Linked DNA regions of Macaca fascicularis. The protein of the gene in region 2 purifies or fractionates together with the protein of the main gene of each other region. This does not show direct contact. Links are inferred from orthologs where the notes say so. Each region holds a gene or a part of one and is shown on either strand. Other genes may lie near its edges.

Region 1 (8,223 bases), on a different chromosome or scaffold from region 2:
GTCACCCAGGTTGGAGTGCAGTGGTGCAAACATGGCTCACTGCAGCCTCCACTTCCTGGACTTGAACAATCCTCTTGCCTCAGTCCCCAAGTAGCTGGGACTACAGGTGCACACCACCAAGCCCAGCTAGTTATTCATTTTTTGTAGAGAAGATGGGGTTTCACCATGTTGGCCAGGCTAGTCTCAAACTCCTGAGCTCAGGCAATCTGCCTGCCTTGGCTTCCCAAAGTGTTGGGATTACAGGTGTGAGCCACTGTGCCTGGCCAATTTTAAATAAATGAGCATTTACTCACATAGAACCCTTGAATTACAAAGCTGGTGCCACCTTAGAGATCATCTGAGGCCCACCAATATTGTTTTGGGGAGTTTTGAGAAAAACACCATGCCCAGGCCTGACTCCAGACAAACTGAACCAGAAGCTCAAGGGATGGGACCAAGGGGCATTTCCACTTTTAAAGCTCCACAGGTGATTCCAACATGCAGCCAGGATCAAGAAACAGCTCCAGTCTCACTATTTCATTTTACCAATAAAGATCTAGAAGTTCAGACAGATGAAGTGACCTGCCTAAGGTCACACTGCCAGTAAGTGGTGTCTCACAACCAGCTCCTCTGACTGCCAACCCAATGTTCTTTCCACTATGTTCTTTTTTTGTTTCTTCTTATAGAAAGAACTTAGGGTTTTACTGAACATTAAAGTTATACAATTTACAATTGAGAGAGAAGAGCTAGGGTCCAGTGAGTATTGGTGGGGCATCTCCAGAGGGCTCAACGCAATTGTGGGTTCTCTGAAGACTACTATGCCCAGGACATAGCTCCTGCCAAGTCTCATTGATGGCAGTCGAATGACATTTTGCTAAAGGCAATGACTAACACTGTATGCAGTGTTCATTAGTCTTGTGTTCGGTCACTTGTTCACAAATTAGTTTCACCAATGATAGTAAACATTCACTGACAAATGTTCTCACTTTCAGGAATTAATTACATTAAAGCAAACAATAGTGGGACAGATCAGTGGTTCTTAATGTTTGAATTAGGGTGGTTTATTAACCTTAATATTGGTTAGGGCAGGGAGTCACAGGTCCCATTGGAGAACTAGTGAAAACTACAAACTTCCCCACAAAAATACACATACATAAATGTTGCATGTAATTTCTGAGGATTCACTGACACCCCTCCCATCCTGCCTAAACTCATACATAGACTCCAGATTAAAATCTCCTGGACTAGATGATTTTGAAGCTCTCTTTTAGTGTTTCTCAAAGTGTGGTCCATGGACCACAGAATCAGAATCACTTGGGGTGTTTGTTAAAGAAGAGATTCATAAGACTGCCACAGACCTACTGTTTCAGAATCTCTGGGGAATGAGGTACAGGAATCCGTATGTTAAAACAAACAAACAAACAAAAAAAAACCAGATGGTTCTTTTGGAAACTAACACTTGAGAATCAGTGCTTTATTCCAACTCGACATTTTTAAATGCTTTCATCTGTTGAATATTTTAGGTTTTGTCTGTTCATCTATCAAGTATAGCAAACAGTATGCTTAGTATTAACTCATTACAGAATATTTGTGTGTATGTACATAGGAAAAACACCTGGAAGTGTAGATGTGGGTGTGTGTATATATATGTGTAAATATATATAATAGTGTTAATAGTGGGAATAGAGATCTCTATTTTTCCCCCTTTATTCTTCTGTTTTATTTCTCTCATTTTTTTTTTTCTTCCTGTGTTTTAAAAAATATGCTTCTTGTTTCTGAGCTCAATTCCCCCATCTGAGAACAGGGTGCTGTAACTAGGTGAACTTCAAGATCATGTCTTGTTCCAATGGTCCGTGACTCCATACTATCCTCTAGGTTCCCTCGTCCATCTCACAGCATGAACTGCATAGGTAACAACAGTGTTCGGAGAATAAGCATGTATTATTTTTGTATGTATTACGTTTGAGATGCCTAGCAACCGTTTTTGTGCCCGCAAAATTTTTCTCTTCTTTGTCAAGGAGCCAAAACGGAAATAGTCTACTATCTACGGCCCTCAAAAGTTCCTCCTCTCTCCTTAGCCTTAGAAAATACCGTCCGCCATAGGCATGGGCAAAGACTTCATGACTAAAACACCAAGAGCAATTGCAACAAAAGTCAAAATTGACAAATGGGATCGAATTAAAAGAGCTTCTGCGCATCAAAAGAAACTAGCATTAGAGTGAACAGGCAACCTGCAGAATGGGAGAAAATTTTTGCAATCTACCCATCTAACAAAGGTCTAATATCCAGAATCTACAAGGAACTTAAACAAATTTACAAGAAAAAACAACCCCATCAAAAAAGTGGGTAAAGGATATGAACAGACACTTCCCAAAAAAGACATTTATGTGGCCAACAACATGAAAAAAAGCTCATCATCACTGGTCATTAGAGAAATGCAAATCAAAACCACAATGAGATACCATTTCACGCCAGTCAGAATGGCGATTATTAAAAAGTCAGGAAACAATAGATGCTGGCGAGGCTGAGGAAAAATAGGAATGCTTTTACGCTGTTGGTGGGAATGTAAATTAGTTCAGCTGTTGTGGAAGACAGTGGGGCGATTCCTCAAAAATCTAGAACCAGAAATACCGTTTGACGTGTGCACACGTATGTTTATTGCAGCACTATTTACAACAGCAAAGACTTGGAACCAACCCAAATGCCCATCAGTGATAGACTGGATAAAGAAAACGTGGCACATATATACCATGGAATACTATGCTGCCATAAAAAAAAAAAATGAGATCGTGTCCTTTGCAGGGACATGGATGAAGCTGGAAGCCATCATCCTCAGCAAACTAACACAGGAACAGAAAACCAAACACTGCATGTTCTTACTTATAAGTGGGAGTTGAACAATGAGAACACATGGACACAGGGAGGGCAACAACACACACGGGGGCATGTCAGGGGGTGGGGGCCAAGGGGAGGGAGAGCATTAGGAGAAATACCTAATGCATGTGGGGCTTAAAACCTAGATGAAGGGTTGATAGGTGCAGCAAACCACCATGGCACATGTATACCTATGTAACAAAGCTGCACATTCTGCACATGTATCCCAGAACTTAAAGTAAAATTTAAAAAAAAAAAAAAAAAGACAGAAAAAGAAAAAGAAAATGCCGTCCGCGCATATCTCTTAGGCGCATAGGAAGGGTTGTGAACCAAAAAGCCAGGGCGTGGTTGCCCCGCCCACCGGCCTCTACATCACCACCCCTCTCGCCGCTTTCAAGCGCGGAGATTGGCTGTAAGCAAGAAAGAGCCCCGCCCCTAGTCTTATGACTCGCGCTGAAGCGCCGATTCCTGGCTTTTGCAAGGCTGTGGTCGGTGGTCACCCGTGCTCTTGACCCAGGTCCAGCGAGCCTTTTCCCTGGTGTTGCAGCTGTTGTTGTACCACCGCCGTCGCTGCCGCCGTCGCCTGCTCTGCGGGGTCATGGTGTGCTTCCGCCTCTTCCCGGTTCCGGGCTCAGGGCTAGTTCTGGTCTGCCTCGTCCTGGGTGAGTTGTCGGGCCCTCCCGATTAGTCTGTCCGCCTGGGCCCGGGGCGCCAGTTCAAAGCTACAACCTGAAAGACTGGTCCGAGGGGGCGGGGGGTGAGAGGCTCAGCAACTGACACTGGGCGGCGGCGATTGGCCCGAGGAGGCGAGCGGTGACCTAGAGAAGGCCTGACAGAGGGATGGCGGGGAAGAAGGGCCCAGGAGAGTAAGAAGGGGCCGGTAACGGGGGGGTGGACGCCGAGGGAGTAGGCTGGGAGGAGTGAAGCGTGGAGAGGGTCAGGGTGGAAAGAGTAACTTGGGGAAAACACTGAGGAGTGAGCGTAGGAGGGTGGTACATGCAGATTTTGGGCGCCAGAGACAATTAGGAGAGTCCTGGTTTGCTGAGATCAGGGAAGAGTTTTGAAGATGGTGGAAAAACTATGGGGTGATATAGGAAATTAAGAGAGGAGACCATGCCTGCCTGGAGTAGCTTGGGGGAAGAGTGTGGGTGGGGGACAGATGGAACAGATAGGACAGTAGAGCCTGAGGGGCAGGGGCAGGGACAGGGTTGGGCATTTTGAAGGTTGGAATTTGAGGCTGTGAAGAAGGGGTGATTCAAGAGATTAGGAGTGATGCTGGGTTTGAGTTTGGTAGTCATAGTTTTAAGGGCGAAGGAGCCTAAGGTAGCTGGGGCAATTTCCAGGAAAGAAAACTTGGACCCAGCCTCTGGAGACTAAGGGGTTCGGTGGGAACTTTGATGGGGAGTGCACATCTGACTTGGAGGTATTAAGGATGTCGATTTTCTCCCAGTTTTGCTACTTCCTCCCAGCCAGACGCTGACAAAAAAATCCCCAGACGTTTCAGTTAGGAGGGCCTCCCAGATGAGAGGTTTTGATAGACTGAGTTTGGTAGACTACCTCTTTGCCTTCAGAGTCTCTTGTTTTCTTTCTTCCCCATCACACTAGCCTATTACCTCATTTTTTGGGGGGGTGCAGGGAGCAGGTAGACAACTTGCTAAGGATTGGGTTGTTACCAGGGCCTCATTAGAATGGCTGGATGGGGCCGGGCGCGGTGGCTCACGTCTGTAATCCCAGCACTTTAGGAGGCCGAGGCGGGTGGCCTCACCTGAGGTCAGGAATTCGAGACCGGCCTGGCCAACATGGTGAAACCCCGTCTCTACTAAAAATACAAAAATTAGCCAGGCGTCGTGGCACATGCCTGTACTCCCAGCTACTTGGGAGGCTGAGGCAGGAGAATCGCTTGAACCCAGGAGGCGGAGGTTGCAGTGAGCCGAGATCGTGCCATTACACTCCAGCCTGGGTGACAAGAGTGAAACTGTGTCTCTAAATAAATAAATAAATAAATGGCTGGGTGAATGTTCGCTGATTGTGTTGTGCCCTAATAGGCAGTGGGTCCCTAACAGCTTTAATGCCTGAAGATGAACTTTGACTAGTGTCTCTTCCTGACTTGATTCATGCTGTGCTTTTTGCTACCCACCTGCTCTTGCTATTTGTGACTTAATAAAATAACATAAAGAACAGACCCAGATGGAAGTGGGGAAGAAATAGACTTATTAGGGGTCTGAGAAAGCAGTGAGAGGTATACATTTTGTAATTCACATTTCAGTAGAATAAAATCAACACCCTGGAATAGTCATTCTCCACCAGGGGACATTTGGCAACTTTTGGAGACATTTTTGGTTGTCACAACTGGGGGATTGCTTTTAGCATCTAGTGGGTAGAGGCCAAGGATGCTGCTAAACATCCTAACTAAGCACAGGGCAGCCCCTCACAACAAACAATTATCTTCCTGAAAATGTCATTGATAAACCCTGCTCAAAAACCATAGTATTGGAAGGGTTCTTGATTATCTAATTCAGTGACTCTCAAGGACCTTTTCATGGGTCTATGAAATCAAACCTTTGGAATAATGTTAAGAAGGTTTTTGTCCTTTTCGGCTGGGCACAGTGGCTCACGCCTGCAATCCCAGCACGCTGGGAGGCTGAGGCGGGTGGATCACCTGAGATCAGGAGTTCAAGACCAGTCTGACCAACGTGGTGAAACCCAGTCTCTACTAAAAATACAAAAATTAGCCGAGTGTCGTGGCACATGTCTGTAATCCCAGCTACCTGGGAGGCCAAGGCAGGAAAATCGCTTGAACCCGGGAGGTGGAGGTTGTGGCGAGCCAAAATTGCGCCACTGCACTCCAGCCTGGGCAACAAGAGCGAAACTCCATCTCAAAAAAAAAGAAAGTATTTGTTCTTTGTCCTTTTCACGCTCATCCTCTCACCAGTGTACAGCGGAGTTTACCAGTGGCTACATAACATGTGATGACCTCACCACTCTGATGTTCTTATATTTTATTCATTTCTCAGTTTTAATTTCTAATACTCTAAATACCAATACATATGACTCACATAAACCTCTGTGAAGTCCTCAGTGGATAAGAAAGTAAAGGGGTCCTGACACCAAAACGTTTGGTAGTCCAACTGTTCATAGGGTGCAGGAAACTCTTCTGTAGCACTTCTGAAAGGTGGCCTTGAGGCAGGCTTTGCTTGAATACTTAATTCGAAGCCTTAACTGTCCCTTGGAGCACTTACTGAGGGCCAACTGACCCTAAGAAAGGATTGTTTACAATGGAAAGTACCTTATCAGTGACTAGAACACATCTGACCAAGGCATCTGTTAATCAGTAGTTCCCTGCCAGTTGAATCTGTGCACAAATACAACACTGCTATTGTTTGGGGAAAGTGAAAAAAATAATAGTTGTCCTACTTGTTGGCTTTCATGTCATTAAATTTTTTTTGTTTTTTAATGAAAGCTTTTTTGTTTTGTTTTTACAAAAGCAGTGCTTACTCATTGCAGAAAATAAACATGCAAAAAGAAGCACATAAAAGAACCCATCAGCTCATCTGCTAGTTTGCCATTTATTGATCGGGACTAACTAGATTCATCCTCTTGGAAAATTTCCAAGATTGATCCCCTCCACCTCCAAGTTCAGAGCAGGATTTGGAAAAGTAAATATTAATAATGTACCTAGATCGGATTTTTAAGAGGTTCCAGGATGAAATAGAAACCATTCTTCTATACAGCTGCATTTTCTGATGGCTACTGGTTCAGTGTGGAGCCCAAAGTCCTCCCATATGGCTTTTTCTCTCAAGAATTTAGCAGTTGCTTGGTGGGTTTTGCGCAAGTTACTTTTCTGTATCAAAATGGATACCAAGAATAGGTTTTTGAAAACTCAGTAAATATTTGTAAAGTACCTACTATGTAGCTAGATCAATAAATATTTGCGAAGTATCTACTATGTAGCTAGAACTGTGCCTGGGTACTGTACAGGGTGCCAATGAAGAAGGACCTGTCCTAAATTTATAGTCTTATTAGCATTAGTGCTCTAGCTGTGCCAGTTTGACTTTGTAACTTTATAACTCTATCCCAGCTTCACCCGTAACCTTTTAAAAACAGCAGCTTTAGAGTAAGTACAGAAAAGGATTCTTAGAGGCTATATATTGGTCTTTTTCATAGAGATTAAATTATGCTGGTGTTTATTTGGATGAATTGTAACTGGCCAGATAACTTTCCGAAGAGAAGCTATATGATTTAGAGGTGTTATAAAGTGGATAGTGAAAATCCTTTCTTTATATAATTGCCTAATTATGGTCCTTTTGTGACATCATAGATTTCAGGATTCTTCTGTGGTTATTGATTCTTATAACCAGCTTGACTTCTGTTTTTTGGTTTCTTTGTGTTTGTTGTTGTTTTTTGGTTTTGGGTTCAGATTTTTCTTTTTTAGATTTGAGTCTTTTCTGGGTGGGAAAAACCTCACAGAAATATTCTTAGTGTCCGTCACTGGTAGGAGCCTCTCCCTTCCACACATGTTTACAGAATGCCTATTGTGTCCCAGCCACTATATTAGGTGAAAGTGACAGAGGAATGGATAAGACAGATGAGTTTCCTGCTCTCATGGAGCTTACATTTTAGTGGGAGAAGAAAGCTCAACAGATAAATAACATAATGTCAGATAGTGATAAACACTATGAAGAGGTTGGGTGTGGTGGCTCACACCTGTAATCCCAGCATTTTGGGAGGTCAAGGCAGGCAAATCACCTGAGTTTAGGAATTTGAGACAAGCCTAGCCAACATGGTGAAACCCCATCTCTACTAAAAATACAAAAATTAGCTGGGCATGTTGGCCGGCACCTGTAGTCCCAGCTACTCGGGAGGCTGAGGCAGGAGAATTGCTTGAATCCAGGAGACAGAAGTTGCAGTGAGCCGAGATCATGCCACTGCATTCCAGCCTGGGGAACAAAAGCAAAACTCTGTCTCAAAACAAAACAAAACCCTATGAAGAAGATTACACAGGTAATGAGAAAGGAGAATGAGTAGATGATAGGAATGGGTGATGGTGGATGTTCCTTCTTTATATTATGTGGTCAGAGGGCCTTCCATTATTGGGTGACATTTGGGCAGAGACCTGGGTGTTGGCAGGAGGCCAGCCATTTGACCATCTGGGGAAATAGGAATAAACCTTATCATTTGCAAAATCTTAGGTTACTAGCCTATTTTCCACTCTCTTTTGTTTCCTCCTAGTTTTAATCAAGTCTCTCCTATGGTAGCAGTCTCTAAGAGCAGAGACTACTTTATGTACTGTTATCTCCCATTTCCTGCTTAGCATAGGGTCTGGTACATGGTTAACCCTTAGTAAATTTTTGTTGAAGATATTCATTGGTG
Region 2 (8,006 bases):
AGTGTTGGCATTACAGATACTTGGTGTTTTGATTCTTGAAAGGAAAAAAAAAAAAAAGATTTTTAATCCCTCTTATCGTCTAAGCACTTTCCTTCCAAACAATACCCTTTTGCTGCCATTGTTCTTGTTATGAATAGCTTAAAGAAAAAGAAACAACGAAGGGTAATAATAGGCCAGGAATCATTTACTGAATACTAGGTCTTCTTGCAGAGTTTAATACCCTATAAACTCTGTGCATCTGATGCATTTCACTTTCAAAAGGCTCAATGCTCTATATTATTTAGTAGTAATCAAAATTTCAAGTTTTACCTAGCCTCCTGATTCACTGCCCAATTTCCTACTAAATATGGGTCAATGGGGTTATTTGCAAATAATCTTATAGTCTACTCAGAAAGTTCTGCAGTTAGAAAGTGATTAAATGACTGTTTAAGATATACTTACATAGTAATAACCTAAATGCATTTGTTAAGTAGTTGTAAACAGGTGAATTTAAAATTTTATCCTATATGAAATTTTCCTTTTTGGTGTCTGTTATTTAATAGGATTGTTTGAATTAGGGGATAGTATTTGGTGTCTTTGTAACTATATGAAAATTAGTTGGTTGAATATTACTGCTTTCCATGTTCATATTTATATTTGTATATACACATATATACATACACATATACTACTTTCCTTTCCATTTTCATATTTATATTTGTGTATACACATATGAACACATACATAAAAATATATTTTATACATTTTTGAAAAGGAAAATTAACTTTAGGGCAAATTTAATGAATGTTCAAAAATATTTTTTGCTGATCCAATTATCACTGTGTTTTAAACTTTTGAAATGATCCAAAAAATTTTTAAATGACTTAGAGTTACTGTTACAAAATGTTTGTCTTTTGATGTCACAAACATTATACACTGTAATCACTGGCCAGAGAGAATTGCTATAAGTATAATGAAAAGGGAAATGATTGAAGATCTCTGCAGCTATCCTCATAAATGAGGGTGGGAACACGATGGGCAGTTCCCAAGTTGAAAACAGAGAATATATGTGGATTTATATTAACATAATTGGTATTCTTGGATAGTTAAAAATGGCTAAACTGTAGGAGAAGCCCGAGTAATTACTGTTAACAGAGGAATAAATTTGAGGGCAATAATAATGATAACAGGCCAGCACTGTGGCTCATGCCTGTAATCCCAGCATTTTGGGAACCCAGGTGAGCGGACCACCTGAGGTCAGGAGTTCGAGAGCAGCCTGGCCAACATGGTGAAACCCCGTCTCTACTAAAAATACAAAAATTATCCGAGTGTGGTGGTGGGCGCCTGTAATCCCAGCTACTTGGGAGGCTGAGGCAGGAGAATCACTTGAAGCTGGGAGACGGAGTTGCAGTGAGCCGATATCGCACCACTTCCCTCGAACCTGGGGGACAGAGCGAGACTCCGTCTCAAAATAATAATAATAATGATAATAATAATGCCACCAACAATACTAAGAGCTAACATTTACTGAGTGCTTACTAGGCACCAGATGTTGTTCTAAGTATACATGTATTATCTCATCTAACTATCCATAATACTGTGGTATAGACACTTTTACATCGATTTTATAAATAAGTAAACTGAGTTATGGAGAGATTAATGACTTGCCAGTAAGTTTCAAAGCCTGTGTACAAGCTCACGCTTGATTCTGGAGCCAGTGGTCTTAACACAGTATCTTCAGAATGTTAAACTAAAAGGTTTTTAATTTACAGAATTATTCTTTCCACAATTAAAAAATAAATTAGGAGTAATTATTTTGAGTTCTTTCTTCTCTTCAGGCATTTCCCATGGTTCTTTTCAAGACATAATACATATCATTTAGTGTTGTAGATCTGAAAAAACAAAAGTAGCGTGAAGACCAAAAGTTTTTTAAAGAGATGGAGTCTCGCTATTGTTCTCTAGGCTGGAACTCCCAGGCTCAAGGGATCCTCCAGCCTTACCCCTCTGAGTAGCTGGAACCACGGTGTCCGCTAAGGTCAATGTTGAATCGTATCTTTGTAGGTCTACTGACCAGTTAGAAAGAGGTGCTGTATACATTGGTTGTTGTCTTATCAGAGTTTGATGCTTTTATATAGACCATTGTTTTTACATGCTAATACAATTGAAAGCCACTACAGATATTTATATTTACAACCCAAAGCTAGGTTTTAACAAGAAACTCGTAACGCAAAGGTGAGAAGTAAAATAATTTAGCGCCAAGTAGAGATATATGTGCAATGCTCCTTTATTGGGCTCAAAATATATTCTTTTGTTTTATAAGACTGACAGGCTTGAAGACACTTTTATATCCATTATGCCTCCAAAGACAAAAATGATTACGTTTTATTTAGTAGCTTGCAAAGTTGCCAAAGACCATTTTTTCTACTCTTTCCCCGAAATTGGTTTATATGCTTATTAAAGTCATTTATACCTATTTGTGAATGCTTAACATAGTTTCAGATTTTAAGATTTCCCTGCAACTTTATTTCCCTTGAAGTTTACAGCAAGAGGAGTTAATTTTTATTTTTAATTGCATTTATTCAGTAATTAAACTCCGCCACAGAAAAACTTAGTGGACAAGGTGAGTTCCCCTGTGTCCCATGGCAAAGGTGCAGTGGGTGACATTGACCCATGGTTAGGTAACCTGGCAAGGAAAGACCCCGTTGTAACACCTCTGAGCAACGAGACCAAAGAAGGGCTTGCAGCCACGAGGCGAAGTCCGCTTTTTTGAACAGAGAGCTCAGCAGAGTTGGGCGGCAGTCACGCTCAGCACTGCGGCCGAAGAGAAAGAGAGCGGCAGCATTACATTGCTGCACGAAGAGTAGGAAAATATGATGCAGGTTTGGGACCAGGCAACCGAAATCCCTTCTCAGCAGCGCCTCCCAAAGCCGGGCACCGCCTTCCTTAGGGGAAGGCGCAGAGTCCCCAAACCCGCGCTGAGCCGCGCCCCCAGCTCCTTTCTCTTTCCTCCGCGGCTAAACACAGACTACCACGTGAGCGCCGCAGCACGTCCCAGCTGTGCCTCAGCTGACCGCCTCCTGATTGGCTGAGAGCGACGTGGGCTGGCCGCCTGCGTGGCTCGCCATTGGCTCTCGAGGAACCCGCCTCCACCTCAGGTGAGGCGGGCCTGCGGGAGCGCGCGCCGGCCTGGGCAGGCGGGCGGGCGCGCTCCCGCCCCCTCCCCTCCCTGCGCGCCCAAGCGCGCCTCCGCCCTTGCCCGCCCCCTGACGCTGCCTCAGCTCCTCAGTGCACAGTGCTGCCTCGTCTGAGGGGACAAGAGGATCACCCTCGCCGTCGCTTCGGCCAGTGCGTCGGGCTGGGCCCTGACAAGCCACCTGAGGAGAGGTTCGGAGCCGGGCCCGGACCCCGGCGATTGCCGCCCGCTTCTCCTGCTTCTGGTCTCACGAGGTGTTTCCCGCCTCGCACCCCCACCTCTGGACTTGCCTTGCCTTCTCTCTCCGCGTGTGGAGGGAGCCAGCGCTTAGGCCGGAGCGAGCCTGGGGGCCGCCCGGCGTGAAGGCATCGCGGGGACCGATTCACCATGGAGGGCGCCGGCGGCGCGAACGACAAGAAAAAGTAAGCCCATTCCCTCGGCCGGCCGCCGGCGCCCCCGCCCGCCGTCCCGCCCTGGGCTCCCGGGCCGGCCTCGGCGCTCCTGGTGGTGGGGGGGCAGCCTTTTTGTTTCTGCGGCTTCTCCCCTCCCCTCTCTTTCCCCCAACCTCGCCGGCCGGGCTCCCCCGCTGTCCACGTCGCCATCTTGTCGTGGGGGGTGGGAGACGCCTCGAAAGTGCTTTCAGGGGCCGGGATCTGAGCCCTGCTTGCCCTCCCCGCCGGCCGTGGGGGCCTCGCGCCGCCCACCTACCCGCCTCAGAAACCCAGCCTGCTCTGTGGCCGCATCCAGAGGGGACTTTACCCAGCCCGAAAACCCCGGGAAGAGAAATGAGCTGCAGCTCGGTAGCCGCGGTTTGCACCCGGAGCTTCCGCTCCTTCCCGCCCCCATCCTCTCCGGTTCCATTGAAAACTCGGCCCTGGGGCGGACCCTGCACGCTGGTCCTGGCTTCCTAGTGGGCTTGGGGCCCTGAGTTCCCGACTGAGGGACTCGCGTGGTCGGATGCGATCTTGTCCTGTAGTTGTCCAGCCGTCGCGGGTGTCTTTGCCTTTGTGCATCCTAGGGATTTGCCGCGATGGCCTTAAGATGCGAACTTTTTAGTTTGCACGTGCAGGTTTTGTTTCGTTTTAAGCGCCTTAAAAAACTTGCCTAGACTGAGAGTCAGAGTAATGGGAATTTAGAGAAATAGCAACATTTTAAAGAGAACTTTAGAATTGGATACTTGAGTTCATATCACCTGTCACGAGAACGCAGATATTATAAATGAATACATGCCTCACTCATTCTTCAAATAATGAAAATGTAGGGGCTGGTTAAATGTAGGCAGACAGTTTTAATGATACTGAAAAAATTATATGATGAGTGAACGAAATGCGGCACTAAAATGTTGCAAAAATTTTCGAACTCTTTCGTTTTCCTGAAACTGAAGTATATTAAAGGAAAACCTTCAACATATATCCAAAGTAAGTTAATCACTCGGTTAGAACTTAATGCAAGTTTTATAAATCACCTTGAAGTTTGAGCCTAAGGGGTACATTAGAGATTAAGAATTGTGAGTTGAACCACTGGTATTAAGAGCGGACTCCCCCATCCCCCAACACACACACAATTTTGTCCACTTTGGTATTTTAACTTTTAAGGAAATCATTTAAGGAATTGAAGATTTAGAGTAAGAGTTTTGGTTAGTAGACTGGCTTTGCTCTTAAATCCTTCCACTCTTCTGGCAGAGAGATTAATTTCCCTAATCAGTATCAGCAGAAGATAAACTTGTTTATATTCTTGCTGTTTTGTAGATCCCTTCTCCTGGTCCTTCTTCAATAGAATATTAAATTCTTAGTTTGTGTACACCAGAGAAGGCACTTACAAAATTCAAAAAGTGAGCAAACAGGTTTAAATTCATTCCAAGAGTTACCAGAAATTAATTGCAGTTTATTTTGCGGAGGTGATTACAGTGCTTTTGATGAAATGATAAAGCGGCAGATTACCTCTGTGTAGTGCCAGTTTTCTATCCTTATATATATTGAATCATACTTAATACAATGTATTAAATTATGCACCAATCAATTCCTTTTTATATACAGTATCGAACTCATTTCTTTGCCATTCATCAGTTCAGAATATCAGAAGCAGTTTTGAAATGAATGAATGAATAAATTAGCTGCTGTTCATCAGCCCCAATTCTAAATGAGTTCTTAGATTTTCCTCAGCTCATCTGTTACTTTCAAAATTTTCTCATTTGAAAACTTAGCAACCTTGGGTTGGATGGATTCATTTCTTAATATAGAAGTTCTTGATATAACTGAAAAGTTAAACACTTAATAAGTGGTGGTTACTCAGCATTTTTAGATGCTGTTTATAATAGATGACCTTTTCTAACTAATTTACAGTTTTTTGAAAGATAACTGAGAGTTTGAGGGATGGGGATTTTCTTCATGCAATTTTTTTTTTTTCATTTTAAATGAGCTCCCAATGTCAGAGTTTGGGAAACAAATTTGTCTTTAAAAGAAGGTCTAGGAAACTCAACCTGAAGAATTGGAAGAAATCAGAATAGAAAATGGGTATAGCTATGATATTTTAGATTTAAGATAGGACATTTCATGTTGCCTCCTAGTTATAGGGACTGAACTTACTTAATAGCACATGTGTTTTGATTTTTAGATTTTTAAGGGAATGTCAAGAGAGTAATGATTCTGTTTCAGGCTTCAGGCCAGACTCCTTCAAAGTTTTCCAAAACAAATAATTACTGAATCATTAAAGTAAAATTGCTGAGAATAGATATTCCTTAATTTCCTTTCATTAACTTTGGCCATTAAAAGTCAAGAAGCTCTCTCATTTATTAGCAAACTTTTCTCGTTATATTTCTATTTTGATTGTCCTTTTGTTTGAGGAAGCAGTATATAGTGGTTAAGAGCATAGGATGTGGAGGCAGATACCTCTGAGTTAAGGGTCCCAGCCCTTCACTTGTGAGCTTGAGCAAGTTACTGAATGCCTCTGAGCCTCTTTGCTCCTTTTGAAGTGATGATAAGAATAGCAGCCATTTGAGCAGTTATTGTAAAGGTTAAATGAGATAATGCTTGTGAAGCACTTAGCCCATTGCAGGAGTCTTGGTGACACTGTGTACTTGAAAATAGATGTTACCTGTTAAAATTCTTGTTTGAACTTCCACAACTCTTAAAATTCTTTTTTGCTAGTCCTTCCAGCTATTTCCTTTAGTTTCTTTTCTGTGTCTTCATGCATCTTTTCTATCTCCTGAAAGTGAAAAGACTAACATTGGATCCAGAGCTTGAAAAGGGCTTTTTTTCCTGTTAAAATGGGCAAAAGAGTACATCCTTGGGTTATATTGGCACCTAGTATCAGTTATTTTTCTTGAGCATCTGATCTACTCTCTACTCCAGGCCTCGTCCTTCACAATTCCTCACCCCTGTGTTTTCTCCCCAAATAGAAAACTTTGAGTTTACTGTGGACTTACATACTGTGTATGTAGAGTCAAACATACACAGCATTCTAGTCTTACTGTTGATTTAAGCAAGATATGTGCAAGACACTGCAGTCTTAGTACTGGCAGTAACTTAAAACATTTTTTGTCTTGATGCCAAAGTTTAGACAATTTTGTAAAAATTAACCTTTGTGAAAGATAATGAGTTGATAAAATATTCTCAGTAAAGCAGCTACATGATAGAAAAACTGTCCTTTGCTTATGAATTTCTCCAGAGTTAAGACCATTGAGTTCCATCTGAAGGCAAGACTTAAAGCTTGCCTTACTGGTCTGTTTTGTGGCTCAATTTGTATGAAGTCTATATTAGTGCACTCTTCCACACGTGCGTATTTACTGAACTATCAAGTTATTTTAGAGCATCTTGTGCAGTTTGGAGAATGTCAGCTTTTCTACCTGTTAACTTCCATTGTCTTTCCTTTTAATGCCATTGTCTATGGCTCTAATGGTGTCTGGGCTCAGGGTTTAGATTTTGTGGTTACATTCTATTCTTGTATGTCAAGAGTGGTGTATAGAAAGCTGAGGGGGATTAATTAGTCTCTTGACTGATTTTTTTTTTTTCTGGAAGAACTCAAAATAGTTTATTATGTTTGGTGGTGAAATTAAAAATTGATGTGCATGGATGTTAAAGATTTGGGTTAAATCGTGTGTTCATAGATGCCTTCTCTTAATATATCATTTTTTAAACTTAGATACTTGAAATACTGTATCCCTTTATCTAAGATTAACACAAGTCTGTTTCTTAACCAGGAGAAAATAATCTAAATTTAAATGTGGTGTTGGATGAGTTTCCGATCAAGAAATTGATTTTTTAAACTTTGTGACTAGTTATCCAGTGGGTGGATTTTACCCAGTGTGTGTATGTGTTCTCTGCTTAACTCTGGAAGGTTAGAAAGATAATTTGAAACTAAGACAAGCCAAACTTCTTGTTGCTCAGTATTTTTGGTAAAAATATGGTGAGAATGTTTAAATTAACGATAGGCTTTGGAATTTTAAAAATAATTATATCTCTTGGTCTCTTGACACATCAAGAATTAACTGTTTTGTATATGCATTGAGTATTAATGTTCATGTTTTCTGCAGTAGAAATTTATAAACCCTTATCTATTTGCCAGACATCCCTTTAGAGAAATCTAATATCTAAAACCTGAATTTCTAAAACAAAATTAAAAATGTTTGTTTTGTAAAAACAAAAATTGTGATTACCTCATGGCTTTTTTCTTATAGCTTTTGATTGTTTTTTAAAATTGTAGTTTAAAAATATTAACATAGGGCCGGGCGCGGTGGCTCAAGCCTGTAATCCCAGCACTTTGGGAGGCCGAGACGGGCGGATCACTAGGTCAGGAGATCGAGACCATCCTGGCTAACACGGTGAAACCCCGTCTC

What was found.
Region 1: the proteins of HIF1A (region 2) and LAMP2 purify together in Homo sapiens (affinity purification with western blotting; 3 studies listed by BioGRID). This does not show direct contact. The link is inferred for Macaca fascicularis from reciprocal best matches to the Homo sapiens genes HIF1A and LAMP2.

The regions. Positions count from the first base shown.
Region 1 is NC_088395.1:126,741,397-126,749,619, reverse strand, and holds the start of LAMP2 (lysosome-associated membrane glycoprotein 2), read left to right. Parts: upstream 1-3,323; 5' UTR 3,324-3,451; coding exon 3,452-3,515; intron 3,516-8,223. UniProt on the Homo sapiens protein: Lysosomal membrane glycoprotein which plays an important role in lysosome biogenesis, lysosomal pH regulation and autophagy.
Region 2 is NC_088381.1:129,531,490-129,539,495, forward strand, and holds the start of HIF1A (hypoxia-inducible factor 1-alpha), read left to right. Parts: upstream 1-3,263; 5' UTR 3,264-3,559; coding exon 3,560-3,594; intron 3,595-8,006.